6 linked regions of the Xenopus tropicalis genome follow. The protein of the gene in region 2 interacts with the protein of the main gene of each other region in a pairwise test. Links are inferred from orthologs where the notes say so. Each region holds a gene or a part of one and is shown on either strand. Other genes may lie near its edges.

Region 1 (4,931 bases), on a different chromosome or scaffold from region 2:
AAGTAGGCAACAGAGGTACTTGCCTAGTGCCCTTTCACTGTTGTGCCCTAGGCAGGTGCCTCTTCTGCCTACCCCTAGTTCCAGCCCTGTCCGCTGCCTTCCACTACCTGAATGTGTGTGCATTGACAGGTACAGGACCAGCATGTACAGAGCATATTTCAGCCTGAAAATGAAAACCTTAGAGCAGGGATACCCAACCTTTTTTTTACTCGTGAGGCCACTACAAAAGTGTGAAAAAAAGTTTTTTAGGGATAGCAAAAAAGGATTGTGATTAGCTACATTAGATGTGCACCTACTGTACATTGAGACCCCCAGGTCCCAAGCATTCTGGATAACAGGTCCCAAACCTGTACAATGTAGAAATGCTTTGGTCAATGCACCCCAGAGATTCTGGTTCAATATCAGTTATAGCAATGATTACTTTGATTAATATGTATATGTGTCTAGGCTCACTGATAACCTCTGTATAGCGAGAATCGGAAAGAACTGCCCATATGCAAAAAACAATTCAAGGACCCACTGTGGTCCCCTCTCTCCTTTTGTTTTCTTTGCTGTTTTTTAACATTCATCTACAGTTTCATGCTTTGCAAGTTTAAAAGATCTCTGCTTTGGAAAAATCTAGTTCATTGTTAATAGGAAGCCGTCAGCAAAGGTTACAAACAAATAAATAGTGAAACTTGACCTTGCTCTCAGTTACATGTTTGCTGGTTGAGGGACAAGAGAGAATATTGGAACATGACACTCCTTTGTCAGAAGAAAGTGGGGTTTAAGGTTTCCTGTGTCCTCTCAGCCAAGCCCTACTCTATTTCTGATTCAAGTAATAGGTCATGGGAGCATTATGTGAAATGGTAATAGGGAAACTGAAGAAAACTGTTCTTGAAATGTAAATATTATAATATAGATACACATCAACATATGTATATACATAGATAGATGGTCAGATAGACAGTAAATTAAGCAAGCAATTGATGATTATATTAAAAAAAAGCTCTCTGTATTCTGTTAGCTCACAGAGCTGAAGCAACATTTAAATATAAATTAAGACAAATATAATTCTATAGATATACATTTGGTTTTGATGTAAAAATTGAATTTGAGCTTAAATGTATATATTATGTTGTATTTATGTAATGTGTATTATATTATTCCCTGTCTCCTCTATTAATGTATTGTTTGAAATGTACAGAGCTAAATATATAAAAGTAGCACTGTATAAATATACATACACAAAGATGCCTACATTATTTTTATTTTGCAGTTGGCAGTATATGCATATAAGAACTCATTATAACAACTCTGTTTATATTATTATTATCATTTGAATGGGCAGGGGTTGTGCTGTGTATCTGTGCACCTTTTTAAAGATTTGCATGTCTTCGAAGGCTTGAATTTATTGAGACACTGGAGAAGAGCCCAAGAGGCTTGTTTGTAAGCTGAAGACATTTGGTGAGCCAGTGTGTACTCCGGTTTCCTAGGAAGGGATTAGGGACAGTCTTTGTTGATATCTGTGAGAGGAGCTACAGAGGATGAGCTAAAGAAAGAAAGCCAGAGACCTGCTAGTTTTGTTCTGCCCTTCCATTCCAAGAAGCATATACCAGCTAATAATAATCCTAAAGAAAACTGGTAAGATTTTCATTGTTGCTGTTGTTTGCATGAGCTTATTTTATAGAAATGCATTATATGTGGGAGGAAAAAAATAATTAGTGGTTGTGGCTGATAGGGTCCTAGGTATTCTCTTTAAGAACAGATTGTTATATGAGTATGATTTATTTAAAAACAGCACTAAGCCATAGCTCTGCATAGAATCCTGTAAGCATCTAACTTCTGAAGTGCCAGCCTGCTGGTACCAGATGTCATAGACACATCACATTTAGACATGTTTGCCAATGGATTTCTATCCCTGTAGTAGCTGATTGTACAAGAATGGTTACCTTTAAACTAATGCTGCATGCCTCTTTTCTATTATAAAGTATGCTGTCTGGATAAGCAGCTGTTTGCTTGCAGAAACTTCTAGGAAATCTAAATATGGAAAGTATCAGTGTTTATAAAAATGGAGCATGGGCTGTTTGTCTGAGTATGCTTAAGCCTTCTATATATTCTTACTTGCTTGCAATTATGGCACATCAGAGGGATTGTCCTCTTAAAACTTTTAATAAAAATACACCTTCTTGTGTCCTTATTAACTGGACACAGTTCTAGGCATTTCCCTCTAGGTGCAGATGAAATTGCCCATGTCCTTAAACTTTCTACATGTGGCATTCTGTATATGTTTGCAGTTTTATGTAGTTACCAAATTAAATTCTCTTTCAGTGGGTCTGTATCCATGGTTCTGGGTGCATAGTTAAAACCTTTTATTTTTGGTTAAAGGGTTAAAGCCAGTGCTATGAGTATCACATAAAGCAAGTGAATACCTATTTTGATTTGTATGAATAGGAACTATCTTGGCTTGCTCTGATGATTCCAAATAACAACCATAACAAAGGAACCGCTTACAGATGCTGATTATTATTGCAGCAAACAAAAAAAGTTAAATTTGTGGCTAGCAACATGGCAGTCTCTTTAGCTACAGAATGCAATAAATATAGTATATTTCCCTCAGTTTGAGGATCTAGCCACTGATACAAGGCATACACCTGGCAAACAGTAACCACCTGTATTGCCGTCCATGAACTTTTAGGGTGAAGACACACAGGTACTAAGGTACTTAGTAGCAGCTACTTTTTTACAGCTATTAAACACCAGAAAATCCCCTGCCATAGACAATACTTCGAATTGCCTCTGCTAAAACATACATAGAGACAATTATCAGTAAATGATCTGCATTGTCTATTTTTGTACCCATGATGAGTAGCTGCTACTAGTGGCTCCATGTTTCTTGACCCTTATGGAAACCACTTGTTACTGCAGGAAATTTTAGTCCAGAAAATCACAAAAGCATTTTGGAACCAAACACTGGCTGCAAAAGCAGCGACAGGTTTAGAGGAGGCGGATGGGTAGTTTCAGACATGTTTTTCCATCAGAGAATCAGTCTGCCTTAATGTTGGCTTTTTGAGATGTTTGGGCTCACTGGAATTGAAAAAAGTCTTGTCAGACTGCAAGCAATATCTTTTCCTTCCAGTGCTAAGAGGGGTTAGAAGATATAAAGGGGATGTATGACTGCATGTGTGGCTTTGCTAAAATGGATGCAAATGTTGAATGTATTGACTTTAACCATTAAAGGAAAAGTAACACTAACATTTTTAAGTAAAAAATCTATTCTACCCTGCCCCAATAATTGCCCTATTCTGCAAACCATTGATTAATTTGAATTCTTTATTAAAAAATACCTGTTTAAACTTGACTTACGGTCATTTGAAAAAAGGCAATATGGCGATGCAGGGGAAGCATCCACTATGTGGCAATCGATTGATCGATCCTAGCCTGACTCTTTCCTATACAGAAGGAAGGCTAGGCCCAATCAATCGATTGCCGCATAGTGGATGCTTCCCCTGCATCACTGTATCACCTTGTATTTTCTAATAAACCATTCAAATTAATAAATGGTTTGCAGAATAGGGCAATAATTGGGGCAGGGTAGAATAGATTTTTAACTTGAAAATTTTTAGTGTTACTTTTCCTTTAAAGGTACTGGTGTCTAAACATACCTTGCATATGTTCAATCTGGTCTAAAGAATCATGTGCAAGTACAGCTATTGTGCTGGGGAATCGGGAAGCTACTACCACATTGAATATAGTGGTAGCTCCTAGGGTTTTGAAGTGAAGAGCATCAATAGAACCCAACCAGACTTGCACCAAAATAATTACATAGTAATGGTGATTTAATGCAGCACCCCTAGAAATCATGTAATTAGCCAACTGTTAGCCAAACCTTACACTAAATTTGTGAAAACACAAATGAACGCGTTTTGATGCTTGAATTCTGTGGGAAATGCCTCATTAGGGCTCTGGCACATGGGGAGATTAGTCGCCTGCGACAAATCTCCCTGTTCGCGGGCAACTAATCTCCCCGGATTGCCATCCCACCGGCGACAATGTCGCCGGTGGGATGGCACATGCTGCGCAGGCGATTTTGGCAAATCGCCCAAGTTGCCTCGAGAGGCTTTTTCGGCGATTTGCCGAAATCTCGCTGCCGCGTGTGCCATCCCACCGGTGACTTCGCCGGTGGCATGGCAGGTGATGGCAACTCGGGGAGATTAGTCGCCCGCGAACAGGGAGATTTGTCACGGGCGACTAATCTCTCCATGTGCCAGAGCCCTTATGGTTAAAAAAGATGGTGATTTGTGTCAGATATTTGCATACTACACTTGTATGTAAATCCCGTTATAAAGAGATGGATGTGCTTAGTATAAATAAACAGGCGCACTTTCCTTTTAGTTCTCTTTGATCTTGTATCTACCTAATTGCTTGTATGTAGATGAGTTCATTTTATATATACATCTGGAATATAGCAAGCAGGAATGGCAGGCTACGCTAGATTTAGAGGAATATGTTTACTTTTTTAGCTTTCTGAAGGCAAACTTAATGGAAACGTCACTAGTTCTATTTCATTCTGTTTTATCTAATGGTTCTCAGGCAAAGTTGTCAGTTTGCATAAACTAACAAGGGTCAGATTAGGGCCATTTCTGTGCATACGTCTAACCATGGGAATCATTAGGATTAAAGAAAGGCATTCCACTGCAGGGAATTTTTTTACTAAATAGTAAGAACCATAAATAAATAGACAAGGAGTCTCCTTATTTCGAAATATTCCTAGTGCTTTAGGACTGTCTTTTACAGAACCCTATAAATGCATTCTAAAACACAAATGAACACCCCTTGAGTATCAGAAACGGAAATATTATATTTATTTTTATAAAATTTGTGTTTTAAATATAAGATGAAATTTGCACATTCCTGAAACGTGTGTATTATAAAGCACAGCAGAAAATCCT
Region 2 (4,947 bases):
CTAGCAACTAAACCCCTACAGTACAGGGCTGCTAAGTGGTAAATGCGTAGTAGTGTAACTAGAGGTTTAAAGTAATAGTAACACTTAGTAACTCAGGTCTTTGCAAAATTCAATTGTTCATGAAAATGTGCTTACATTTGAGTTCTGATCCTGTGTGGTCACCATGGTATAAGCTAACAACACCATTTAACTGCACTGCCAGATTCTTTCTGTCAGTCAAGCATTTAAAGGACATGTAAAGCCTACATTTGCCTACAATGTATATCAGTTGGGCACGTCTCCCCCACCCAAATAGCATTAGTTGTACTGCATATATCTCCTCCGTTTGCCAGCACCATCACATGTTCCTAAAGCGAATAGCAGCACACAGGCAGAACTATCTCTGATAAAGTTCTGATGTGTTTGAACTGAGCTCAGGAGAGAAGGTTGGGAGAAAAAAACTGAAGCAGACAGCTAGAGCTGAGTTTCTATGGGAACCAGCAATGCCATCTCTTCACTGGCTGCTAGATTAGGGGGCATGTTTAGTAATCTGATCTTACAACAACTGAGCATGCCCACAAGCCAACAGCCAAAGCAAATTCCTGAGGGAGGGGGCCGAGTGGGTTACAGGAGGAGATGCAAATCTAAGTGATTAAGGAGATGTTGCAGCCTTACTACCGGTATTAACCTCTGGACAACCAGTGTGGCAGGTATTGAGAGATTTCAAAGAGGCTGTTCACTGATTACATTTTTGTGTGTGGAGTTTACATGTCCTTTAATTTCCGCCTTACATGCAAGCCCAGAGGGATCATAAGAACGTGGTGCTTCTCTCTCCCTGTCTTCCGTTATCCAATAGCATTCTCACGAATTTTTTGAAACCCTCCGAAGTTCATATTGAAATCTGTGCAGGTAGCAATTTTTCGGCTTCATTCGGGCATTTTTGCATGCATGTGACGTCACGTCTGCAAGTGAGCACCGGTGCGTGATGTCACTTCCATGCAGCAATACTGATGAACGAATAATTATAATTTCAAGATGGCGAACCACAGGTGCTGCCTTCTGCTTGCCTTTTAACTTTCCACTCCTCTGGAGTGGGACTAGAAAAAAATAAATGAACCACAGAGGCAGGAAATTGAAAAATAAAGTGGGGAAATAAAAAGCTTTTGGGCAAGGATATACAAAGAGAGTATCAGGGCCTAACACATGAAGAAAACAAGTTGGGGAAGTGGAATACAATTTGTAGTTGGGCAGGGATAAGAAAAGGAGTACCATACTAACTGTTGTAGGAATTAGGAGGTTAGGGTATAGGATCTGAGTATATTGGGAATTTTATCTAAAAATCTTTTAGATAGTAGCATTGGTAGGAAGGTGGAGTACAGATCATTCTTTAAATGTGGGAGTGGGTTAAATCGGCTATACAGATGTATACTTCTCTCCCAAGAATGAATTTTCTAAAATCTAGCTTTTCCCATTCATTAACTTGGGTTTAAACATTACAAGGCCATGCAAATATGCCACACCAAAGTATGTTTATACATGCTAGTATAATCTTGAAGCAGTTCATATTAAACCTTACAGAAGAGAAAAAAACAAACACAAATATGCATCAGCAGCTTTTAGTGACTAGCATGCTACTCTTGCTATACTGCATAGCTATGGCTTTCCCTCTCTACCCAAACACAATTTGTGATACACCCACTGAGCTACTGATTGGTCAAGTGTCGGAACAAACACTCGTTACATATCAAGGGAAGGGGCGGGGCTTCTCGGCTCTTGTTTCAAAGTGTAGGTGCACTTGAACTTTGTACTTATACAGCAGCGGCGATGGCTGCCACACGGACTCTGTCACATACAGTGGCTGTCATCAAAATCAACAATCCTCCTGTTAATGCGCTGAGGTAAGACGTTGAGCTGGATTCGTTGTGGGAAGGGACCTCAGCTATAGGTGTTTGTGGTGGACTGGAATCAATACACCATGAAGTACAAACCAGCCTTTTCTCGACCTTTGTATCTAAGTGTAGCTGAACTGTAACACCTTAAATGCCACTGATCATTGTAGAATTCTGGGAGTTGTAGTCCCACAGTAGCTATGAATACAGATTAAACACTCAAAATCCTAATTTGCAAGTTTAAGGCAAGTGCAATGCTCTGGTTTGGAATGCAAAATTGAGCATGCTTAGATAACTCAGAATTTATGATGAAACTAACCAAAATAGACACCACTTTGCATGTGTATGGGTGCATTCTGCACAAGGGATTGTATATGCCACTTGGAGAGTGCCTGCAATTACACTCTTAATCTGGATAAAAAACATTGTGATTTGCATCTGAAAATGGCACTTTGCACAGCGCTTTATGCTTGCGCCCTTCTGAAAGCTTCTAATAGCCTTATAATTGGCTCCTATTTTGCATCCCTCCCTCTGTTTCCCCAGTACCTTCCAGTGCTCTAGAAGAGTAATTCTATAAGGTGACCGGTATCTCCATACTGCAGCCCTCCACTGCTTGCACTGCATTACCAGCATTTGGCTGTCCATTTTCATGGACAGTATTTTTCTGGGATGTGCATGGTAAAGAAAGTGCAGTTCTGAGAAATATAGAGTAATTTAGAAATTGCTGGTAGCTGAATTATTTATCAGCATATAAACTGGGCAATATATATTAATAGACAAAGTGGCAACTTTACCTGAATATGCTCTAAGGTAACTTGCAGTAAATATCTCTTTGGCAGGAAATGAACAAGAAATATGAAATGGTGAAATCTAGGCTTAAGGTGGCCATGCACGGGCCGATTCTAGCTGCCAATATCGGTCCCTTAGACCGATTCGGCAGCTTATCAGCCCATGTAGGGGCACCAACGACGGGCCTGCCCGACCGACATCTGGCCTGAAATCGGTCAGATATCGATCGGGCAGGTTAAAAAATTTAGTCTGATCAGGGACCGCATCGGCTAGTTGATGTGGTCCCCAAACCAACTGCGCCCATTACCATCGTTCTTATGCCCAGGGCCAAACGACCGAATTAGCCTAAATTCACCCAGTATAGGTGGGGATATCAGAGAAGATCCGCTTGCTTGGTGACTTCGCCAAGCGAGCGGATCTTAACGTGTATGGCCACCTTTAATGTGTATTTCCCTGTAAAGAGGCAATGTATAGATGAAGCTGGTTTTAAAGATGCACTGTGTTCAGTAGTAACTTATAAGAAATGCCTGCTCCATCTGTAATATTGTAGTCATAATCTTGAGAGATGCTAGGGCTCAATAATATCCTTTTGTAAAGCTGGACTAAATATTGCCATTTCATTAAAATATGGCTACTGGGTGAACTGGTTCACTGATAAATAATTCTTTTTAATATGGTGGCTCTATCACACAACACACAAAAGAACTGAAGTCTGCTAGCTAAAGGTGCGTTGGTTTTTGTACAATTTGTGTGTTTCCTTGAGAATATGTTTGGGCTAATAAATCAACAAAAGAGGGACCATTTGCTTTTATTTGCTACCATATATTGTGCTTATTTGTCTGCCATAGCACTCCTGTCTGTCAGGCACTTATCAAGGAATTGGCAGAGGTCAAAAAGGACCCATCGGTAGAGGCCATTGTCCTGTGTGGAGCAAATGGAAAATTCAGTGCAGGTATGGTTGTGTTTATTTTTCTGTCACTGGATGGATCTGTGCTATCATTTTCTTTTTAAAATAGGTGATTCCATATTCTAATACACTCTTTACTGCCCCAGGAGCAGACATCCGTGAGTTTAGTTCTGCAGCTCGGAGAACCGTATCTTTAGAAGATATAAATGCTGAAATAGAAAGCACCACGAAGCCTGTGGTGGCTGCCATTGAAGGAGTGGCTCTCGGAGGAGGTCTGGAATTAGCATTATCGTGCCACTATCGTGTGGCACATATAAAGGTGCAGTCACTTTAGCATCTACTAAGATGTTAAGATCAGCGGGACAGGCGTCCATCTGGGCGCAGTCAGCATAGCAACAAAACTATTTGGCTTTGTCTGGTTCTTACCATTTCAGTTTACCTGCTCTGCCACTAAGCTGTGGCAGGTTACAAACAACAGTGAATAAAAGCATATAACAGCAATAGTCAAACTGTGGTAATGAGCTCCAGTATTAGTTTTGGTGGAGTTGTTGTTTGGAAGTGATACCTGGCACTTTCCCTGTCATAAGAACACTGGAAATAATATTAGGTCCTCATCTGTGTGAATTTCCCCTTAAAGTGGCCTTTTGGTATCTGATATGTACAAGGATTATGAATAACTGAATAGTAATGGGCAAACTATTTGATAATTTTGCTCCTACATGCGGCTACTCAGCACTGTGCCAAACTGTTCCAATAGAAACCCCTGGTTGTATGCTGCTGCTTTAAAAATAAAGTTTAATTGCACAAAGTTCATAACAGAATTACAGATAATTTTCTCTTGTTGGCTTACAAGTGCTATGCCTTGGGGAGGAAACCATAAAGTTTGTCTCTTCAAATAATGCAGTCCCAGAGGGCAGGTGAAACAAACATTTTTAGGCCGTAGGCTTTCACTGTAAAAGGTGAAAGTAGCAAACCACAACCCTCTTGGATGTGGCTTTTTCCTGGTCTAGATGGATTTGAGGCAGCAGCAGAAGTGTTATGTAATATATATCAGAAATGGAAGGTATATGAGTGTTAACATCTTCATATATAGTTAAAATACATCTTGATCTCTCTTTACAGACTGTTATGGGTCTCCCGGAGGTATTAATTGGAATTCTCCCAGCAGCTGGAGGAACCCAACGCCTGCCTCGCTTAATAGGCATTCCTGCTGCTCTGGATATTATTGTCCGTGGTACGCACTTTCTTTCTCCCTTTACACACAGAATAGTTGTTGTCACCATATAAAGTCCAAAGACCCATCTGGTGTTCTGCTTCTAAAATATCAGTCCTGTTTCAGTAATGCCATTGAGATGTCACCAGTCAAGATTACCATTGTAACTT
Region 3 (5,199 bases), on a different chromosome or scaffold from region 2:
CATTTCCTCATCCTGTGTGGCAGAAGGTCTAAGAAATTTTAATGAGCATGTTCATTCTATGTTCAGTTTCCTTACTTGTATTTATGTAGATTTTTCTATTCATTTTTAGTTGTGGTCAAACAAATCTTGAGAGAAAATGGTTAAACCATTTATTTTGAAGTTTTTAGTCATATATTAGAACTTTACCCAATCACCAGGAGTCCCACCTAAGAGAACTGATATACCAATAGCAATTAAGCTCAGATCAGGCCTTATATGCAAGGAGTCATCCCAGGTGCTCAGGTATAAGGTTCCAGGGTGAATAGCCATAGGTGGGGACCATAAAAAGGGGATACGCCAGCTTTGTGTTTAGTTTCCCCCAAAAGGCACTCAGCCCCAGAAAAGTAAGATATATTGATACCCTTATGTAGGGGAAGGGATTTAGTTTTATTAACAACATCTCTTATGGGAGGCTTTGGCATAGCTGGAAGATACTGAGCCCCACAGGAAAATCATTTAAGGGTCCCTGTAAACTATCTAAATACTATAATGAAATTCATATGTTAGTGCCCCACTTGGCCTCCTATACCTTGTCTATATAGCTGCACTCCTGCAGGGATCTCTCCACTAGGCACTAGTCTTGGGTAACTTTCTTCTCGGGTCCATGCTGCCTAGAGATTTGTATCCGCAACTGTCAGAACAATAAAAGAGAAGGGAGAATTGAACTGAATTGATATTTTGTAATGAAAGTATATTGGAGGTAGGTTTCTGGAGGTAAGGAGCCTGAAAGGGGATTTTATTTTTGACTTTAGATCCCCTTTAGGATCAGATCCACCTTTTCAGGTCACATATTCCCAGTATTTGTCTGTATATAATTAAAAAAGTCTCTTCTCACATACCATTTTTCTTGACTGTGTCATATGATATAGTTGTGTCAGTAAATAAAAAAATATTTTTAACAAAGAAGTATCATATATATGTAATTGCAGGGGCTAAGTATCAGTGTCAGAATGAGATGCCAGGTGCACACTGCCAAAACTTTAATTCCTCCTCTCCTCCTTCAAACTCTTTATTATCCTAGTCTCTTTTCTCTACATACTAACGTTTATTCATCCATTTACCAAGCTTCCATGTTCCCATCCAGAAATAGGCTAAATAGTTAGAAGCAAGAGGGCCCACTGACACCTGGGCCCACAGGGAGTTTCCCTGGTATCCTGGTGGGCCAGTCTGGGACTGGTAGGTATAATTAAATATGAACTTTGGACAGTGGATGCTTGCATTGTTGTACCAGTGCAACTTTGCCTCAAAAATGTGTCCAGAAGGGGGAAGGGGGGGCCTGCTGCATGCCCTGCACCTGGGCCTGGGGAGGTATAGTTCCGCTACTGTTTGGAAGCATAAATCAGTTTGGTGTAATGATCTCTTGTACCTGTTATCAGTGTTGGACTGGAATACCAGGGGCCCACCAGAAAACCTTAGAACATGGGCCCACTCTCCAAAATATTATTCTCCTATTACATGCTAGCATCTATTTTTCCATCTATTATTTGTATTTGTTCCCATTCAGAAATAGGGAATGACCATGAAACAGGCCAAATGGTTTGGAGCAGGAGGGCCTACTGACCCCTGGGCCCACCGGGAGTTTCCCTGGTATCCTGGTGGGTCAGTCTGACACTGCCTGTTATAAACTTAAAATATACCAGAGAATGCATATCACCACATAATTTCACATTTAAATATTCCTTTTTATCTGTACTTCTTCTATTTGCTCCAGCTCCCTATTTTGGTCCATCACACTAAAACGAATCATTTATTAGTTCTTTGACCTGGTTAGTAATTTGTATTGGATAATGTATGTGAAAGCAGGCTACTCAGCCTGGAGCTTTGCAGGCAATAGTAACATAGTGCTGTGAGAGGCAGATCACTTGGCACACCACACAGCTATAACCCTCTATGGAGCAGTTTGTATCATAGCCACGGTTTATTACAGCACATTCATACTACTTGTGCTTGTGGTAGGTTCCTAAAGGAAAGAGCGCAATATATCCCCCTTCTGGTCTCCAGGGGTAACTACAGGTGTGAGCGGCGCTCTGAGACAAGGGGTAAGGTAATGTTCGTCCATGTGATACAGGCCCGGATGTTTCCTAGCTCGTTTTCCCGGGGATAGCGCCTACTTGTCCCTCCTCCTTACTCTCGTAGAGATGTGACTACGGAGTCCCAGGGTTGGTTATACTTGTCCCTGACCGCGTTTTGCATGGCTCCAATTTGATGGTTTCCCAGGGTTACACACGTTTGTCCCGCGTCTGGCCTCCACGGGCCTGGCTATGTTTGTCCTGCCGCTGGTGCAGTGACGGGCTGCTGTATTTAGGGAGCTTCAGGGGAGCAGGGAAGTAATACGGTATGTTTCAGGGGTGGGGTTTATAGCGCCTTTGTGAGCAGTGCACTTATCAGAACTCACAAACCTGTGTCTAGTCTGTGGCCTTCTAGCTAGTTTGGGACTACAGTTCCCAGCATCCTTCACATACAGCCGAACTACAGCGGTAGAGTCACTATTTACAGTAACGGACACCAGTAGCAACTATGTACCATAAGGCCACAGGCTGTATTGATTGGGTAATGGGTGTGTGGGCCTGGCTGGGAAGGGAACAGGTTATCGGATAGCATTTTGTTATATGTACTTGTATTTTGGGCCTTATTGCTCCTTGTCCTCCCTCAGCCCTGTCCCACTGCCTGATCGCTAGGGGAGACTAAGGTACAAGCTCGCAGGGGGACACATAATAATGGGACACATAGCCCAGTAAGGAATGAGGGATAACTGGGGCAGTGCTGGGCATCACTTTCCTACCATCACTCCTGCCATGTAAATGGCTGCTAACAGATATGGAATTGGCTGCCCTTTATATGTTATAATGTTTCTCTGATGCAGATACATGAAATCCATCATTAGCTGTGACCAAACAAAGCCTCACACGGGATATTGTGTTCAGGGGAGACAGTATGTAGCCATGACAGGTGCTTAAACCAGTGATTTCAGGCAGATATTTTAGTATGTGAGTGACTTTGGGCATTTTAAACATGTTTCTTCGGCTGATAAAAAATATGTGGTGATCAAAGTGCAGAAAACATGCCTTTTTTGAAGGGTGAGCGCTTACGAGAGCCTGAGGATTGTCCAGCAGACAGTCACACTGTTCTACCTGGTGCCCAGCACTCTATATACTGAGCTTTTACATAAGTGCAGTGATGCCAAAGTAAAGACGGCTTGTGGGCACATAGCAGGGACTATTTCTCTGCACCTTGCTCAGAAAAACTGTTATACATTTGCAGCCCTGCACTGGTAATTTATTTAAAGAAGTAAAAGTGTATACAGTCCCTAATGTTGTGGCCCAGGCTTTTGGGTGTCTTGTAAAAATCTTATTTATAGTCTGATTATCAAGAGAGCTTGTTGGGTTGCAGCATATACACAAATATCCCTGGTGAAGCCTCCTTGGTTGTTTAAAGATGTTGCATCATTGACAACCCTGCATATTAGACTTAGGTACAATTATAATATTAGCTAGGCTTGTGCTCTCCAAAAATGTTTATTAATTCTGAAAAGTATAACTATAAACACCAATATTACTCCATGTGATATCTACACCAGGGGACAGGAGCCTAGTGTGGTACTACATGCCTGTCAGTGCCTGGCAGGATGGATCTTGTCATGAAAATGCTTGTGTGCACACAGACAGGAAGATGTCTTTCTGTCAGCCAGGGTTTGAGTAGATTGTCTTATTCTCTAAAAGAAAAAAACCCTGGTGTAGCATTAATTGTATAGTTTCATTTTTTAATGGGAAAAAGCAGTAGTTGCAGTATTAAACAGAGGGTTATTTTAGTGTATTGTATAGGTGCATTGACTCCAAAAATGAATAAATAAAAAAGTTGCCCTGCATGTTTCATGCCTTTCATGAACACTACGACGTAGTGCCCTTGAGCAGTATGAAACCATTTGCACTGTATCAATTTACTTCTAAAATATTTAAAATATTTTTTTGTATTTTGGAATTCTTGCATCCTGTTCCAAAATAAGGTAGCCACACGTAAAGATGGCCACATGTGCCAGATTCAGCTGCCCATATCAGTCCCTTAGAGCGATTCAGCAGCTTATTTGCCAGTGTATAGGCACCATCGACAGGCCTTCCCAAACGGCATCTGACCTGAACCAGTGGCACCTATGCCTGCCATTTTAATTTGATTGTTTGGCCCTAGTAAGTGGGCATATCGGGAAAAGATCCTCTTGCTTTATGACATTGACAAGCAAGCAGACCTTACAGTGTATGGCTACCTTTACGAAACACAGTTTTGTGAAGGTAAACTACCACTTGAAGTCTGCCCCCCAGTGCATGTATGTATATATATAATATATTATATCAAATTATTCTTTATTTAGCGCCAACATATTCCATAACTATCCACACCTGTCCCTGCCCTAGCGGAGCTTACAACTTAAGGTGCATATAGCATTCACACACGATCATTTTTCGATCAGAAGCCATTTATGATAAATGTTTTTTCAGTGTGGGAGGAAACACAATCATTGATAACGCATTAAAACTCATAGTACCCTCACTGGAATCAAACCTATTACCCCAGCACTCCAAGAAAGCAATGCTAACAGTTACACCACTGGTTCTTCATCAAGTACATGCATTTTGTCACTGTGCACCCCTTTATACTATACAGCCTTTTTTTACATAACAATTTCAGTATGATCTGACAAATTATTGAATTATCGTATGGGTGGTGTGCACCCAACAATCGTACATCTGCTGTTCTTTCCTCCGACATTGGTCAGAGAATTGATCGGACAGGTTTATACATTTTTGTCTTTAAACAGTGAAATTTGATGGGATGGACAGATTTCGATCCCTTAACAATTTAGAAACTGTGCATGTGTGGGGCGGTGTTGAGATCACAAAATGATGACAAGTGTCATCAAACAGCAGTAAATATCTATGGAGTCTCAAAAGAGAAAGGAATCTCACAGATATAAATTAAATATTGTTTACTTTTTTTTACATAATGTACAGCAACAATCAAAAACTGAAAAAAATACAACATAGATTGTCCATAGGACATTACAAAATTGTTTGCAGGACCAAGCAAGCAGCTACCACAGTTTTTCCTTTCTTTTTTAACTTTTAGCATATACGTCACATCCTTTTCCGGTTTGGGCTTCAACTAGAC
Region 4 (5,284 bases), on a different chromosome or scaffold from region 2:
ACCTGCAAAATATGTTTTCTGGTCATGTCATATTGCTGTTATGCCATCTGGTGCCCCAGAGTCAGGATCTCAGTAGGTCGTACCTACAGAGCTCATTCTAATTTAAACAACTAAGACACTACAGCCATTCTTCAAAAATAGAAACTTGAACAAACCCACCGCCTAGAGTAGAATTCAGAAAAAGGCTGCCAAATACAGTGTAAGTTTCTCCCCAAAAGTGGTCTTGATTGATTAAGCAAAAGACAGAAGCTATCATTTGTCTCTTACTTTGGACAAGATTAATAGCATTATAAAAGACAAATTCCAAACTTTTTAATTGTCCCTCTGTGTGTGGGACTGTGACTTTTCCTATCTATTCCTACAGTGCCAAATGTTAGGTTAAATGTTCCATTTCTTAATGTGTCAGAAAAAGCGCTTTCTGGCACTGTGAGGATAAAAAGCCCACATTTCCGTGCATGTTTTGGAGAGCATTCTGGAAAAAGCCAAAGACTTTGGATCTTTCTAGTGCTCTGCAAATGAAGATACAAATGAAGAAATGGGAAAAGCTGAGGGTGAATTGTGGAGGCTAATGGTGGAGGGAGCAGAGGACAGATCTTGCTAGGCTAGAGGAGGCTGTGGTGATTCATGGAGGGCTGAATGGCTAATGGAGAAGAGAACTAAGAGAGCATGAAGAGGCACACTGAGGGGGGATAAAGAAGAAGCTACTAATGGATTGTGGTGGGTTGAGGGAGGAGGGATCTGAGGGCAGATCTTACTGGGTTAAGGGAAAATGGGGTATGGGGCACATCATGGATGTAGGAGAGAGCAGAGGTGGATGATGGAGGGCTGAGGGCAGATCAATGAGGGCTCTAGAAGGATGAAGCTTGAGAAGGGCTATGGGAGGATAGAGGAGAAGACTAAGGGCATTACCAGGCTCAAATGGAATTACACCTAAAGCACACAAAACTCTTAACATAATGGACAAGTAAATATTTGGACTAAGGTCTCTCTAACAGTCCAGGAGCAGACATCTCACAACTTGCCGGTCTGCTTTACAGTTAGTTGGCAGTATTGTAATGGGTGTAAGGGCTATAATAGTTTTGGGGTTTATAACTGCTGAGGGCTAGTGCCTGCTACAAGGCCCCAATGAAATTAGTTGCGATCAGAGCCTTAAACTGCACCACACTGCCATAAAATCTGACAAGCCCCTTTGTGTCCCCGAAACATTATATGGTTTGCTACTATTAAAAATCAGCAGGGTTTATCCTGCTTAAATAAGTGCTGTTGCTCTTTGTGTGTCTGACACTGATATTGCAACCAGGGGAATACGGTGTGTTTTTGTAAAATGGGCATGGTATTTTGGTGCAGTAGACTTTTTCTCTAGTTGCCTTCATGGCAATATTTATATTCCATTAGATATCATGCATCTTGTTTTCAAAGGGTAATGTATATATCAAGTTGCCATGTGTTACCAAATTACTGACATCTGACAAGTAATTCCCATTCAAAGCTGAGAACTGTTTGTTTGTTTTTTACCTACTAAGGGTGCTGCTTATAGCACCCCAAACAGTTTTGTATGCCAGCCTAAATGTGCTCAGATACTTATGTGGGCCAGTTTTTCATGTCTAAGACTAGGTGGCTGAGGTTGGTAGATAATAACTTGGGCCAATAATGAAAAAGAGCTCTCCATTGTTATTAACATAAGAACTTTTTTTTCTATTTTTCAGGCAATATTTCTTTACATACAATGTTTCACGCTCTTTGGAGATGAAAGGGCTTCCCGTCAAACACAATAACATCCGCAGAACTGAACGCAAATGGGAACACGTCACTCAAAACCCGTACAATCCGGCTTTCTGATTTGCTGACCTACGAGCAGAGGGGCGGGCCAAAGATTTGTTTCCGATTCAGCCTCTGTCTCCTTCTCTTCATGATCATGATGGCAGCCGGCGCGGAAGAACCTTTCCCTTACCATGGGTTGTTGCCCAAGAAAGAGACCGGCGCTGCGGGCTTCCTGACCCGGTACCCGCAGTATGACGGCCGCGGAGTCCTGATAGCGATATTAGACACTGGGGTGGACCCCGGGGCTCCAGGCATGCAGGTATACACAAAAATGAAAGTGTATTCATACACTGGGTACATTGTTATTGTGTGAGATACATAGCCTGCCATCTTCCAGCCGGAGAAATACCGACCTATAGCGCAAGGATAGGGACTGTAGAGTAACGGGAGACTTGCAGGAAGGACTGTCTGACTAACTCATCAGTACTGGCCTATTTGTGTCCGTCACGTATTAGGCTTTCTCTATTGTAGCAGAATTGAAATACACAAATCCGCTGCATGTTTTGTACCCTCTGGGTTATCATTGATAGGAATGATCTATGCTTCTGAGGTGTGCTAAAGGGAAAGTATCCATCCCAAAGTCAGACAGATCAGGTTTTTAATCTGTGCCCTGTATTAGCTGCCACCAAGGATGACTTAGCACTGTCAGGACTTCCTGGCATTGGTTGCTTTTTTACTTTCGTTTCCTTGGCAGGAGGAGTACAGAGATTGGAGGGCACCCAGTCCACTAAACTAACTGTAGTTGATGCTTAAATGTTCTTTTTTTTTTGTTTTTACACACAGATCTTTTTTTTTGTGTATTAGTTTTTGAGATGTAATGGCTTTATTATTGTAATTTCTCAACCTAACATTTGCATGCATTTTGCCTATGCTTTTTGTCAGTAGTGCAGTGCTGACAAACAGCATAGTCACTGATATCAGCCAATCAGAACAGATGAGATCTGTCAGCGACTCACAGCAAGATAGTTGCAAAAAAAAAAAAATATTAAAGGGGTGGTTCACCTTTATGTTAACTTTTAGTATGTTACAGAATGGCCTATTCATAGCAACATAGCAATCGTCCTTCAATTTTATTTTATTTTTACGGTTTAATTATATGTTAATTAAATATATGCTTTCCTCTTCTACATTTTTCCAGCTTTTGAATGGGGTCACTGACCCCAGTAGTCAAAAAAACTATTGCTTTGTGAGCTTACAATTTTATTATCTTTCTTTTCAGTCCCTCTCCTATTCATAGTCCAGTCACGCATTCAAACCACTGCCTGGTTGCTTAGGTAAGCAAGAACCTAGCAACCAGTTACTAATATTCCAAATGGAAGCACTGCTGAACAAAAAAAGCTAAAAAAACTGATAAACCACATACATGCATACTAAAAGTTAATTCTAAGGTGAACGACCCTTTTAATACAGCTGCAGCTGAGCTCGTAGGTCTAAAGTGTGTAAAAAGAAGTTCATAAATCAGATATCCATCACCTGTGTAAAATCTGTTTCTTTAATTCGTACTTCTTGGCTTGAGTCCCTTAGCCATACCATGATTGCTACACAGGTATTGGTGGTGTGGTTTGCTCTAATATTCTAGATTCCTCCCACATTTCAAAAAGTACAGAAAGGAAGGTAAATTGGTTCCTAACAAAATTGACCACTGTAAGTGAATGTCTTTGACTGGTGTAAAATATCGTGAAATATATAAATAAAGGAGGATAATAGAGAGCACAACTCCTGCCAACCTGATTATTGGCGGTTTGTGTCTGTCAGCAGTGTCATGCCATGTTGGCCTGAGGGATGCCATATTTTATAATAAGGACATAGTTGTACTAATCTGTTTGTAAGGAGAAGAAGATTCTGGGTGTGAAAATCATCAACAGCAATAACTGTTGATATAGTGTTTTGCTCAGACTGAACAGTCTGGCTTTTTCAGAACACCCACGTATTATTTGTGTTGATTGTAGTGTGGTAGAAAAGAATACATTTACAATTACTCTATTGTTGCTTTACTTCTGTACATGTAAAGCACTGTTGGGGCAAGTATGAATGCTATTCAGTATATTCTTTTAGGAGTACTAATAATATTACTTCTGTGTCCAATTCTTTGTTTTATCCTGTGTTTTTTGTTTTTTTTAATAGGGTAGCCTGAGCTTTTTATAGAATCTTTCCTATGCCTGTAAATGAGCGTATTCACTAAAATAAACACTGCATAAATGACAAGGCGTGAATGGAAATAGATATGTGTTGTAGGCAGCTTTGCTTTCCTTGCTGCTGTAATACGACCTGGCTTGTATCAGTTTAAAAACAGTTTTCACGGTGATTCTTGGAGTTTCATTTTTGCAGTACTGTTTTACTAAGAATCATAAAGCAGATTAAAACATTATTGATTCTTGGAGTCTGATCTCAGTAGCGAAGTGACTGATCTTCAGTCAGATATATACAGTAGAACCCCCATTTTATGTTTTCAGGGGACGAGAAAAAATTGATTTAAAATCCAGGAAAATTTCAAATCATGGAAAAGCATTATGCATTATATATTTGTGGGACCACAAAAAACATTCATGCCTGTTACTACACACCCGCACACACGCGGCAGCATATACATTTGTCAGCCTAGAAAACATTAGTGTGAAATAATCCATATTTATGACTGCAACTCCTGCCCTTCTTTAAGTAAAGACTTCCCAGTGCATTGTTGACAATAGTTTACACTTATAGGAATCAGAAGTAAAAGAGATTGGTTCTAAAGTGAGAGTTTTTACTAGGTTTAATTGTGTGATTTATTTGTTTTTTAAAACACAGCCCACATTTAGCTGTATTTTGGTGCAAGTTGGCCTGACACATACTTGGGTCCATGGTCGGACTGGCCCACTGGAACACCAGAAGAAATGCTGGTGGGCCCCAGTCCTTTTAGGCCCTGCTTGTCTGGCACAAAGCTTTTCATGTATATGTAATTTAAGAGTGAGGCAATAGTGCAGCCAAATAGACTGGTATTAAATCAAGCGAGAATGCCTGCATCTCTGCTCTTTAATTCCCATCTGTTGATTACCACATAATATTGAGATTAAAGCTTATTTACACAAGTAAGCATTTATACCCATGGGTCATTTTTATAGATTCTGTAATTTGGCCCAATATCTTTAACATATCACCATGATTCCATTTTATTAGCTTTGATCATCCTAAATATTTCATTAGGGGGCCTGGTTAATGTATGTGAAATTAGCTTAAAGGGGTGGCCCACCTTCACACATCTTATTGTTTTTAAATAATACACCACAAATAAAGACTTTTTTCAGCTGCTTTTTATTTTTACCATAAGTTTAAAAACAAATGTGTTTATTATTTCCTACCTATCATATTTACTTTTGCCTGGTGATTGACTCTCTTGATTCTTATAAAATCAGTTGTTGACATTGTTTAGGGGATGTTCACCTTTTGTAAAGTCTTACAAAAGTGTTAGGACTTTTCAAATGAA
Region 5 (5,005 bases), on a different chromosome or scaffold from region 2:
CAATGATCTGTGGAGAGGAATAAAGTTCAGTACCAGTGCATAAATACTGGAGATTCAGGAGAAGAGAGACAATAGTAACCAGTTTGTTAACTCACCTTAATTTTCATGGTGCTGGGGGCCAAGGCAGTGATTTCCTTCTGCATTCTGTCAGCAATACCAGGATACATTGTGGTACCTCCGGACAGGACAGTGTTGGCATACAGGTCCTTACGGATGTCAACATCACACTTCATGATTGAGTTGAATGTAGTTTCATGGATGCCACATGATTCCATACCTATGTGTAAAAAAAAAAGTTAATTGCTAAAGTTCCATTCTTACTTATACTTGGTTCACTTTAGTCACTTTAGTCACCTTTAGCAACTATACAGTGTACTGTGGAAACAGGACCTACTACCTAGACCAGATGTTCAGGAGGAAGAGTTATTAGTCAGATGAAATGCAACGTCTTAACAGATACCCACCCAGGAAGGAAGGCTGGAAGAGTGCCTCTGGGCATCTAAACCTCTCATTTCCAATTGTAATTACTTGTCCATCAGGCAGTTCGTAGCTCTTTTCCAAGGATGAGGAGGATGCAGCAGTTGCCATCTCTTGTTCAAAGTCAAGAGCAACATAGCAGAGTTTCTCCTTGATGTCACGCACAATTTCTCTCTCAGCTGTGGTGGTGAAGCTGTAGCCTCTTTCGGTCAGGATTTTCATGAGGTAGTCTGTCAGGTCACGACCAGCCAAGTCCAGACGCAGGATAGCATGGGGCAAGGCATAACCTTCATAAATGGGTACTGTGTGGGTGACACCATCTCCAGAGTCCATCACGATACCAGTGGTACGACCAGAGGCATACAGAGACAGCACAGCTTGAATGGCGACATACATAGCTGGGGTGTTGAAAGTCTCAAACATGATCTAAGGGATACATGAGAACAATGTTAATTCTAAAAATCAAGACGAGTTAGAACCCCAAACCATGCCAGCATGCCATCATGCAAAACAAAGAGATAGATGTGTAGAAAAACAGAACAAGCAGAAATAAACCAATGAAACAGAAACCTGAGACTTCAGGAGGGAAATGCCAGGAGAGGTACAGAGCCCTGAAAATATTGAAAGAAAATTGGAGTTTGAGAAATAAGAATGAAGTGTACAAGAACTACCCCAAAATAAGTGTATTTGGGCCTTCCACTGAAAACAAACCTGTGTCATCTTTTCTCTGTTGGCTTTGGGGTTCAGGGGAGCTTCTGTAAGCAGGACTGGGTGCTCTTCAGGGGCTACACGAAGCTCATTGTAGAAGGTGTGATGCCAAATCTTCTCCATATCATCCCAGTTTGTAACAATTCCGTGTTCAATTGGATACTTAAGGGTAAGGATACCCCTCTTGCTTTGGGCTTCATCACCTACATAGCTGTCCTTCTGGCCCATACCAACCATTACACCCTAAAACAAAAAGAACAGTAAGTCAGCCCAAGAAAAAAAATTTAAGCTGCATTTGCTGGATGAAGGATTAAAGCATCACTTATATATACCTGGTGTCTTGGGCGTCCAACAATAGAGGGGAACACAGCACGGGGAGCATCATCTCCAGCAAAGCCGGCTTTGCACATTCCAGAGCCATTGTCAACGACGAGTGCTGCAATTTCCTCATCCATTTTATTTCTGTGTGGTAAACAAACAGATCATCATAAGCAAAATAAGGGACTGGCTATTTATCTCAGTCAGTAGCCACAACCTCACTCCGTACACAGCTAAGCCATTTGTAGGCAAGTGTACCAACAGTAAGGCATAGTAACCGTTTAATCCACTTCAGCCCCACCCTACCATGAGCGACAAGCGTTAAACACTTGTTTCTTAAGTAAAAAGATTAATCATGAATTATGTGGAAAGTTTGTACACTGAAAGCTGTACAAGGTAACAGGGAATATCCCACAGCTGATTAACAGCATTAATAGTAACACAATCAACACTTCTATGATTAGATAATCGTTTAATGAAAGGCTAAGGCAGCCCTTTTCATAGGCTAAAGACTTGAGGCAAGTGGTACAGCCAGTCACGCCCTGTTATTCCCCTCAATAGGGAAAGGGCACACCACAAAAAAAAAAAAAAAAAAAACACAAAAAGGCTACAAGACTTCAGCTGTCAGGCTAACAATACAGTGTAGCTATCCAAGCAATATAGAACATTTACAAAAATGACAGGATGTAAAGCACACAATCACCCAAGTTATTTGTATTTAAGAACAGCTGCCCATACTGCAGAATCTTTAATTTAATATAGTTATAAATAAACATAATAGAATAGATTTCTCTGACTCGCCCTAGTGTTAACCCCCGCCCTTACTTTATACAACGCAGGAGCCGGTACCGGCTAATGAACAGCAGCCCCACCCCTAGAACTGGTGTGATGTTTAAATCTGCCCTGACTGCTCGCTCAGCCAATCACAGAGCTCTTGCCCTAATATGGAAGCAGAATGCAGCAGCCACGCCCTGCCGCTGAAACAAAAAGCTACAAGCTTCAAACTCGTGGGCGTGGCCAACAGAGGTGGGGTGACTCATACAAGTAACTGGGGGGGGGAGGCGAGAAATAGCTTCACCCCTACCCTTTAGAATGGTGCAGCCCGTCATGCTATCGCAGGGAAACCCGCGCAAACTTCTAGCCATAAGGGAGGGAAGCCACCTCCGAACGGCGACTGACACCAGAGCCATATAGTTCTGTACATAGCCATATTAACATCATTCGGCACCCAGGGTAACCAGAAGTATGACAAGGGCCAGATATGTATATAGAATATGCCTATTTTAAAATAGAATATCGCAGGGCATTGTAACACATTAAGATCAACAGCAGCTTTTTAGGAGAACAAGTTAAGCGTGCATTACTGGAGACTTACAAATATCCAAGCCACAGACAATACGGTCATGTAACAATATATAGACAGAACACTACCACACGCTATCCCGGCCAACGGTACCCCATAAGACTTCTTCCGCCCACCACCCACACACAGCCGTAAGACATTGTCTAAGGTCTTACCTTGGTGCTGGAGGTTTCCTTAAGAGGAGAAATGCAAAGCTGGCAAGTTGTTACAAAGAGCGGGAAGTAGCTGTCAAGTCCGCTGCCACCGGCTGAATGAGAACCCAGTAGCGGCCGTTATCTCTATTTAACGTCACAGGCTTCCAGCCCCGCCTGCTGCCGCACAGACAGAAGATCGCCAAATATGGGCATCTTTCAGAAACACGCCTCGCCATTGGTTGCTTGGTTGGGAGAAGAGGCGGGACCGGAGTCCTGGCCCTACGTCCACCCGGAACCCCTGAAGTTACATGCGCTTATGAGCAATAGGGAGGCGTGTAAGGCCTGGCCGTGTTAGAGCAGGAAAGCCGCTACCCTTGCACATATATGTTACTATTACTTGAAACATTTCTCTAAAATGTATTGTAAAATACAGGGAAACATCGTAGTCCGGGGATTTCTAACTCTCAAGTTCTTATGCGGTGGGACAGTGAGATACGGATTACTGGGGTAGCGGAGGTTGCTGGGAAGCGTAGTTAACAATAGCAGGCGAGCGTGGTGCCACTATGGCCAAAGGGAAGGATGGAAATACCTTTTAAGGTCATGTTTTTTTCCTTAGGTGTTTCATTGTCCTTATACAGAGGGTGTGCATTTTCCTACAGTATACCCAATAGGAACACATTACATCCTTGAAACTTTATTTTTATTTCTTTATCTAAAATTAGAGTGGGATCTGGTCGAATTCCAAGCCCAGGGAGTTTTGTAAATAAAGTGCTAAGTGATACATGGGCTAAACCCTATATAGATATAACACAAATGCATGGATTGCCTATAGACAGGATATTAAAGGGCGTGGTTCTACTACATACCCCCTTTAGGTACCTTGCTGGGAAATGCTTTATTTTGTATTCTCTGAAGCCTCAGGTGCTTGAGCATTCTCCCTTTAGGGCTAAGATGGAAGGAATACATTCAGGGTGGGACTGCTGGGAAGTGAGCTCAGTCTTGCATGTCACATTACCTTAAACAGAACTTTCTAAAGAACAATCCCTGAAGGCAAGGGCTGCTTGGTGGGTACATTGCCAGATTATAAAGACAGATTCATTAAAGATGTTCGGAACAAATTGGAATAGACATTACACATATAGAGAGGGAATGGCTTAGGAATTGCAGCAGTTGTTAGAGGGAAGCTTACTTGCAGAATATCCTGTATAGTGACAGTCATGTGTTTGGCTTCATGCAGAAAATGTTGTTATGGTGAAACAAAGTTCATGGTACGTTACTGGGATGGTCTCTGTATAAATCTGTTCAGAAACATAAACTATAAGTGCAGAATGTACACTTACCTATACTGATCTGCCCAATTTGAGCTGATAGTTCTCTTGACTGTCTGCTTCTACTGGGGAAGGGAGTCGATTTTGGGGTTCAGGAGGGGCAACATCACACAGCAGAATGTAAATCCACAACATAACCAGGTGGGCCATACCTAATTGTAAATAGAGGAAAATTATGATAAATTGCAACCACAGAGAACTACTGCTTTCAATGCAAACCCCTTTTCATGCACTTCCTTAATTAGATTTAAGTCACAGAGAAGTTCTGTTATCTATGATGGCAGTCTGCACTGCAATATTAAATCTATGTGGTTTGCCTTACATGCTGTTCAGCTTTTTACATTAATCCCATACTGCATGTTCAAGTGCCTGGTTAGGGTGAAGACACATGGAGCTACTTAGTAGCAGCTACTTGTCACAGCTACAAAATGCCAGAGAATACCCTGCCATAGATAATACTAGAATTGCCTCTGCTAAAACACACTTAGAGCCAATTATTATTAAATAATCAGCATTTTCAGTTTTGTAGCTGTGACAAGTAGCTGCTACTAGTAGTTCCATGTGTCTTCACCCATATAGTGAAATGATGATGGCAATGATGAGAATGGTGCAGCTATAAGTAGTCCCTAGTAGTATGTGTGGCATATAACCTTGTACTATATACATAGTTAACAAAA
Region 6 (5,039 bases), on a different chromosome or scaffold from region 2:
ATTCCCTGTCTCTGTGCCCCCCCCCCACTGGTTATTCCCTGTCTCTGTGCCCCCCCCCTACTGGTATTCCCGTCTCTGTGGCCCCCCCCCCCCCACTGGTATTCCCTGTCTCTGTGCCCCCCCACTGGTATTCCCTGTCTCTGTGCCCCCCCACTGGTGGTCCCTCTCTCTGGGGCCCCCGCACTGGTGTTCCCTCTCTCTGGGCCCCCCTACTGGTTTGGAACATTTTAATGGGCTGAGAAGTGAGGCTTTAGATTATGGCCAGTATATAGATTGGCGTATCAGATAAACCCCAAAACAAAGGTGGCACAACTGCCAGCTCTCGTAATCACTGTGCTCCTGCCAGATGGGAATGTTTAGAAATGACAAAGTGACAGGAGGGATGTGAGGAGCCTGTATGTACATAGCTGTGTAGATTGTAGTTGCCCTTAGCAGCTAGTGACAGATAAGTTTTATGCCAGTCTATAAGGCTGGGACCTAAATAGCAGTAAATCAGTTTTTATTTCAAAGTTAAACCCTTATATAATATCTTCCTTATCTGTAAACCAGAGATTGAAGGCGGGGGTAGCAATGGGTTGTTCATACAGCCTTATTTATATAAACTTTGGGGTCTGTGGAACAAAACTGGCTTGATAGAAGTTTAGTTAAGCGATTGCAGTCACTGGGGGGTGTCTAACATTCAGCCCCAGTGATTTAGCTCCTTTAATGAGCATTTGGAAAGATCCCGCAGGGTGAGCTGCTGAAAATAGAATCTATCAATATTGGAAATAGACTGAGGCAGCGATTGTATCAGCGTAGTGCGCTTTGTGCATAAGTCGCAAAACTAGAGGGTCAGGCTTGCTGTCTTGGGGTGTATAGGGTTCAGTATATCAGGGGACCCCTAATTCTAAAGGTGGCCATACACGGGCCGATTGTAGCTGCCGATATCGATCCCTTAGACCAATTTGGCAGCTTATCGGCCCGTGTATGGGCAGCAACGACTGGCCTGTCCAACCGACGTCTGGCCTGATATCGGCCAGATATCGATCGGGCAGGTTAAAAAATTCAGTAGGCTTGGGGACTGTTGATGCAACTCCATTGAACCAACTGCGTCGGTTACCATCCTTATAATTCGATCATTTGGCCCCCCGATATGGCCCACCTGTGACGTGTATGGCCACCATAAGAGCTAGGCTGATCTGATAGGGAACTGAAGCCTTTCTTCAGTTGTGTAAATGCAGGGCTGTGATTGGCTATCCCTCACCTGCTGTGCTTTTGGCAGAGACTGTTAGAACACGCCCACCCCTCACTCCAATAAAGGAGCTATTTATAAAGATAATGTGTACCTAATGGTACGTACGGATATTAAAGCCGAGTTAGAGAGTAATAGGGATGAGCAGTTTAGGCTCCGGCCGCTGTGTCTCAGGAGCACAATCATTTATAATGATTTGGGGGGGAAAAGCCCGGTGTGACTTGCACTTCTCTATATATAGAAAGGATGGATATAGCAACGTGCAGAATAACATTAGCACCTCTCTGTTCCTTTGTCACCATCCCCGCTCCCAATATAGGGACTTTGTGCCGTCATTCCCATCTAATAAGCAGCGTCTGCACATCTGTCTTACAGAAGCCGGCCGGAGAGAGAAGTGTATGCGTCCCTCGGCAGTGAAGCATTTGCTTACGGCAGGTCAATCCTTTGAACAGATGGATAATGGAGACTGGGGGTACATGGTACGTGCTGCATTGGTTGGAGTAGGGGCCCCCTTGGTTTGGCTTTTTCCTGCTGCGGGTGCTGTGAGTAACGTTCTTTCCTTACATTCCAGATGACTGATCCGGTCACACTTAACGTAGGCGGCCATGTCTACACTACCTCGCTCTCCACCCTGACACGTTATCCAGACTCCATGCTGGGGGCCATGTTCCGGGGGGATTTCCCCACAGCTCGGGACTCCCAGGGGAACTACTTCATTGACCGAGACGGAGCCCTTTTCCGGTACATCCTAAACTTCTTACGGACATCGGAACTGACTTTGCCGGTCGACTTTAAAGAGTTCGATTTGCTTCGCAAAGAAGCCGATTTTTACCAGATTGAGCCTTTGATACAATGTCTCAACGACCCCAAACCCTTGTACCCCACGGACACCTTTGAGGAAGTAGTGGAACTGTCCAGCACCAGGAAGCTCTCCAAGTATTCCAACCCGGTGGCGGTCATCATAACGCAGCTCACCATCACCACCAAGGTGCACGCCCTGCTGGAAGGAATCGCCAACCATTTCACCAAGTGGAACAAACACATGATGGACACGCGGGACTGCCAGGTCTCCTTCACGTTCGGACCGTGCGATTACCACCAGGAGGTTGCCCTCCGCGTGCATCTCATGGAATACATCACCAAGCAAGGCTTCACCATCCGGAATACCCGGGTGCACCACATGAGCGAGCGCGCCAACGAAAACACCGTCGAGCACAACTGGACTTTCTGCCGACTGGCTCGTAAGACGGACGACTGATGCCTGTGGCGCCGTGGCCAACCTGGACGAGGGAACGCAGGAGATGCAGTGTTACCTTGTGACTTTGTGCGCTGTTTTTTGTTTTATTTTCTATTTGTACGACTATTTATTAACAGCCAATCTGATTGAATCGTTCGCAGTGTGATGTAACCCGACATTCCCGGCTTATCCACGGTGTATGCATGTACCTGTATGGAGGAGACTTGTTGTTCTAATAATGCTTTAATGTTAAATATACAACCCTGCTAGTGGGCCCATTGTGCTCAGTACAGTGGTGACAGAACTCTACGCATGGCTGCGCAGCACTGGAGAGATTCACAAATCCAGCGTTATGAGCTTGGCCTTTTGTGTTATTCTCTATGGGGCTGTTCTATTGCTTGCTGTGTGCAGCATTGTGAGCCATTGTGCTATAATGTAACCTTTGGGTAACACTACAGTCAGGCTATGTGTCCAATACTAATAACAGCTCCTAATTCCGAGGTGTACTGCAGGCTGCACTGATTTCTGTACAGCCACACATATGCACCTAAATAACCTAGTATCTAGCTGTGCAGAATTTGGATTTTATTCATGTACAATTATTATTATGGATTTGAATCAAAATGGAACCCAATAACTAATAGTCGAATTTTAGTTTGAGTATAACTGAGAATACAGTATTAACTCATGCTGTAAAGGCGCATTGCAAAGGGGTTTGGATTCAGGCTTGGGATTCAGAATAGGCCTCCAGTACACAGAGGCCCAAACAGCCCCAATAAATAGTGACTGTCTATGGCACCTTACAGCAACCCCTCTGGCATTTGCCAGAACCCACAGATTGCCATTCCGGGCTGGGTAGATCAGCTGATAACCAGAACCAAATCCCTTAATTTAATAATGATAGAGAAGCACCATGCATTTTTAAAAAGTGCTGTAGTTTATATGGTAACCTTTTTTAATTATGACTGAGCTGCCCTCTCCCTCAGTTCTATATAACTAAACTCCTTTTTAGTATGGGAGGGTGCTGTACAGGGTCCAGTAGGGCCCACATTTACAGAGCACACCAGATAAGCTATTTAGGGTACCATAGTTTTAGTAGTCAAGTGGTGATATACAATAGTCCGCGCATTTATGGCTCCCCACGCACCCACAGGATGGAAACATCCAAAAACTGGACTTTTGCTACCAAATAATTTTTTATTTTCAGAACCGACAGGTCAGATATATTGTATAAACGTATATCCACCTCAGGAGCCTATATTGCAATATTATTGTAGAAAAAAAAAATTAAGGTTTTAATGATAGAAGACACCTGTAATCATGGGAAAAATAGTGAATGGGATCCAGAAGGCATTTTCACTATATTTCTTTATTATATATCCATATAAATATGGATATTTCCAGTTACTGTACTTTGGAATACACCTCAGACCCAGCTCTTATGGAGTTTTTAAGGGGAACATGACCTTAAAATTAGGGATAACTGACAGTAGTGCAGTTGGTCTTTGTGTGCAGCTCTTTCATGTATGGCAGTTAAGATGTTACTTGGTTTCTAAGGTCACACACCCTGGCAACAAACGTAGGAGAGGTCCTGAAAAAAAGATTCTAGTCATACATTTATTGGGACATTTTAGGCCACTTCCTGACTACCCCAGTCAAATGCAGTTCTGCCCATATTCCCTCCCTCCCCCACTTCACTGTAGGCCCCAAAGGACGGTAATTACTTTGTGAATTAAGCATTTGCCAATGTATAGCTTGTTATCCCACACACTTTGCTTTGGGAATGGAGATCAGTATTACAGAGAAGCAAAGTCATTTGTACAAACTGTTTGTTTCTATGCAGACAAGGAATTCTGACCAAATATACGTTTAGTGTCACCATAGAGCTGTGTGCTGCTTGTCTATCATTTTGTCGTTGGATCATTATTATACTGCATTTTGGAACATTTTTTGTCCGTGTCTCCTTGTTATGCCCAGTTATGCCCCCAGTTTTTTGTTTTTTTTTTAACTTCAGGCGTTTATTGAATTCACAATATCAATATGTACAGTACTTGAATAACAGTATTGCAATAATAGTTACACATTAGTAGTATCATAGGCATTTATTACATGACATAGCATAGCACATTCTATTATGGTTTAACTCATTTGAGTCAGGACTGACTCGGCCCAAACATATGTGTGATATATTTACTGTCGGTCTGGCCCTGGGATAACAGGACTCTTGGCAGGTATGTAATTACATTCGCAACCCCATAATAATAGGGTAAATAGTTATTTTCTAACCTTTATATGTAGGGTCTGGTTGAGTTACAACTTGTTATTGATGTCATGTTTACAGAGCTTTTCCCCTCTTAACAAAATGTGGGATCTGCCTTTTTGTGCAGTGATTAAAGGAGAAGTAAAGCCTAACTAAAGAAGTAGGCTAGAAATGTTATACATTATGTTTGAGCTTTTGTACCAGCCCAAGGCAACCTCAGCCCTTTAGCAGATCTGTGCCAACAAAGATGCCCCCAGTAGCCCCCCCCATCTTCTTTTGTACTGATTACTTTGTGCAGTTACTGAGCTTAG

What was found.
Region 1: the proteins of ehhadh (region 2) and mid1 interact in binary tests that used the Homo sapiens proteins (3 or more experiments, as listed by UniProt). The two-hybrid records come from large-scale screens. The link is inferred for Xenopus tropicalis from reciprocal best matches to the Homo sapiens genes EHHADH and MID1.
Region 3: the proteins of ehhadh (region 2) and zbtb9 interact in binary tests that used the Homo sapiens proteins (3 or more experiments, as listed by UniProt). The two-hybrid records come from large-scale screens. The link is inferred for Xenopus tropicalis from reciprocal best matches to the Homo sapiens genes EHHADH and ZBTB9.
Region 4: the proteins of ehhadh (region 2) and tpp2 interact in binary tests that used the Homo sapiens proteins (3 or more experiments, as listed by UniProt). The two-hybrid records come from large-scale screens. The link is inferred for Xenopus tropicalis from reciprocal best matches to the Homo sapiens genes EHHADH and TPP2.
Region 5: the proteins of ehhadh (region 2) and actg1 interact in binary tests that used the Homo sapiens proteins (3 or more experiments, as listed by UniProt). The two-hybrid records come from large-scale screens. The link is inferred for Xenopus tropicalis from reciprocal best matches to the Homo sapiens genes EHHADH and ACTG1.
Region 6: the proteins of ehhadh (region 2) and kctd6 interact in binary tests that used the Homo sapiens proteins (3 or more experiments, as listed by UniProt). The two-hybrid records come from large-scale screens. The link is inferred for Xenopus tropicalis from reciprocal best matches to the Homo sapiens genes EHHADH and KCTD6.

Annotation. Positions count from the first base shown.
Region 1 is NC_030678.2:58,457,384-58,462,314, forward strand, and holds the start of mid1 (E3 ubiquitin-protein ligase Midline-1), read left to right. Parts: upstream 1-1,533; 5' UTR 1,534-1,623; intron 1,624-4,931. UniProt on the Homo sapiens protein: Has E3 ubiquitin ligase activity towards IGBP1, promoting its monoubiquitination, which results in deprotection of the catalytic subunit of protein phosphatase PP2A, and its subsequent degradation by polyubiquitination.
Region 2 is NC_030685.2:54,569,996-54,574,942, forward strand, and holds the start of ehhadh (peroxisomal bifunctional enzyme), read left to right. Parts: upstream 1-1,742; 5' UTR 1,743-1,803; coding exon 1,804-1,877; intron 1,878-3,505; coding exon 3,506-3,609; intron 3,610-3,710; coding exon 3,711-3,883; intron 3,884-4,686; coding exon 4,687-4,798; intron 4,799-4,947. UniProt on the Homo sapiens protein: Peroxisomal trifunctional enzyme possessing 2-enoyl-CoA hydratase, 3-hydroxyacyl-CoA dehydrogenase, and delta 3, delta 2-enoyl-CoA isomerase activities. Catalyzes two of the four reactions of the long chain fatty acids peroxisomal beta-oxidation pathway.
Region 3 is NC_030684.2:71,795,259-71,800,457, reverse strand, and holds the start of zbtb9 (zinc finger and BTB domain-containing protein 9), read left to right. Parts: upstream 1-2,018; 5' UTR 2,019-2,078; intron 2,079-2,101; exon of another isoform or gene 2,102-2,198; intron 2,199-2,204; exon of another isoform or gene 2,205-2,374; intron 2,375-5,199. UniProt on the Homo sapiens protein: May be involved in transcriptional regulation.
Region 4 is NC_030678.2:119,711,906-119,717,189, reverse strand, and holds the start of tpp2 (tripeptidyl-peptidase 2), read left to right. Parts: upstream 1-1,855; 5' UTR 1,856-1,909; coding exon 1,910-2,080; intron 2,081-5,284. UniProt on the Homo sapiens protein: Cytosolic tripeptidyl-peptidase that releases N-terminal tripeptides from polypeptides and is a component of the proteolytic cascade acting downstream of the 26S proteasome in the ubiquitin-proteasome pathway.
Region 5 is NC_030686.2:28,628,087-28,633,091, forward strand, and holds the start of actg1 (actin, cytoplasmic 2), read right to left. Parts: upstream 3,107-5,005; 5' UTR 3,022-3,106; intron 1,648-3,021; 5' UTR 1,641-1,647; coding exon 1,518-1,640; intron 1,429-1,517; coding exon 1,189-1,428; intron 904-1,188; coding exon 465-903; intron 278-464; coding exon 96-277; intron 8-95; coding exon 1-7. UniProt on the Homo sapiens protein: Actins are highly conserved proteins that are involved in various types of cell motility and are ubiquitously expressed in all eukaryotic cells.
Region 6 is NC_030680.2:148,539,900-148,544,938, forward strand, and holds kctd6 (BTB/POZ domain-containing protein KCTD6), read left to right. Parts: upstream 1-1,683; coding exon 1,684-1,710; intron 1,711-1,802; coding exon 1,803-2,489; 3' UTR 2,490-4,412; downstream 4,413-5,039. UniProt on the Homo sapiens protein: Probable substrate-specific adapter of a BCR (BTB-CUL3-RBX1) E3 ubiquitin-protein ligase complex mediating the ubiquitination and subsequent proteasomal degradation of target proteins.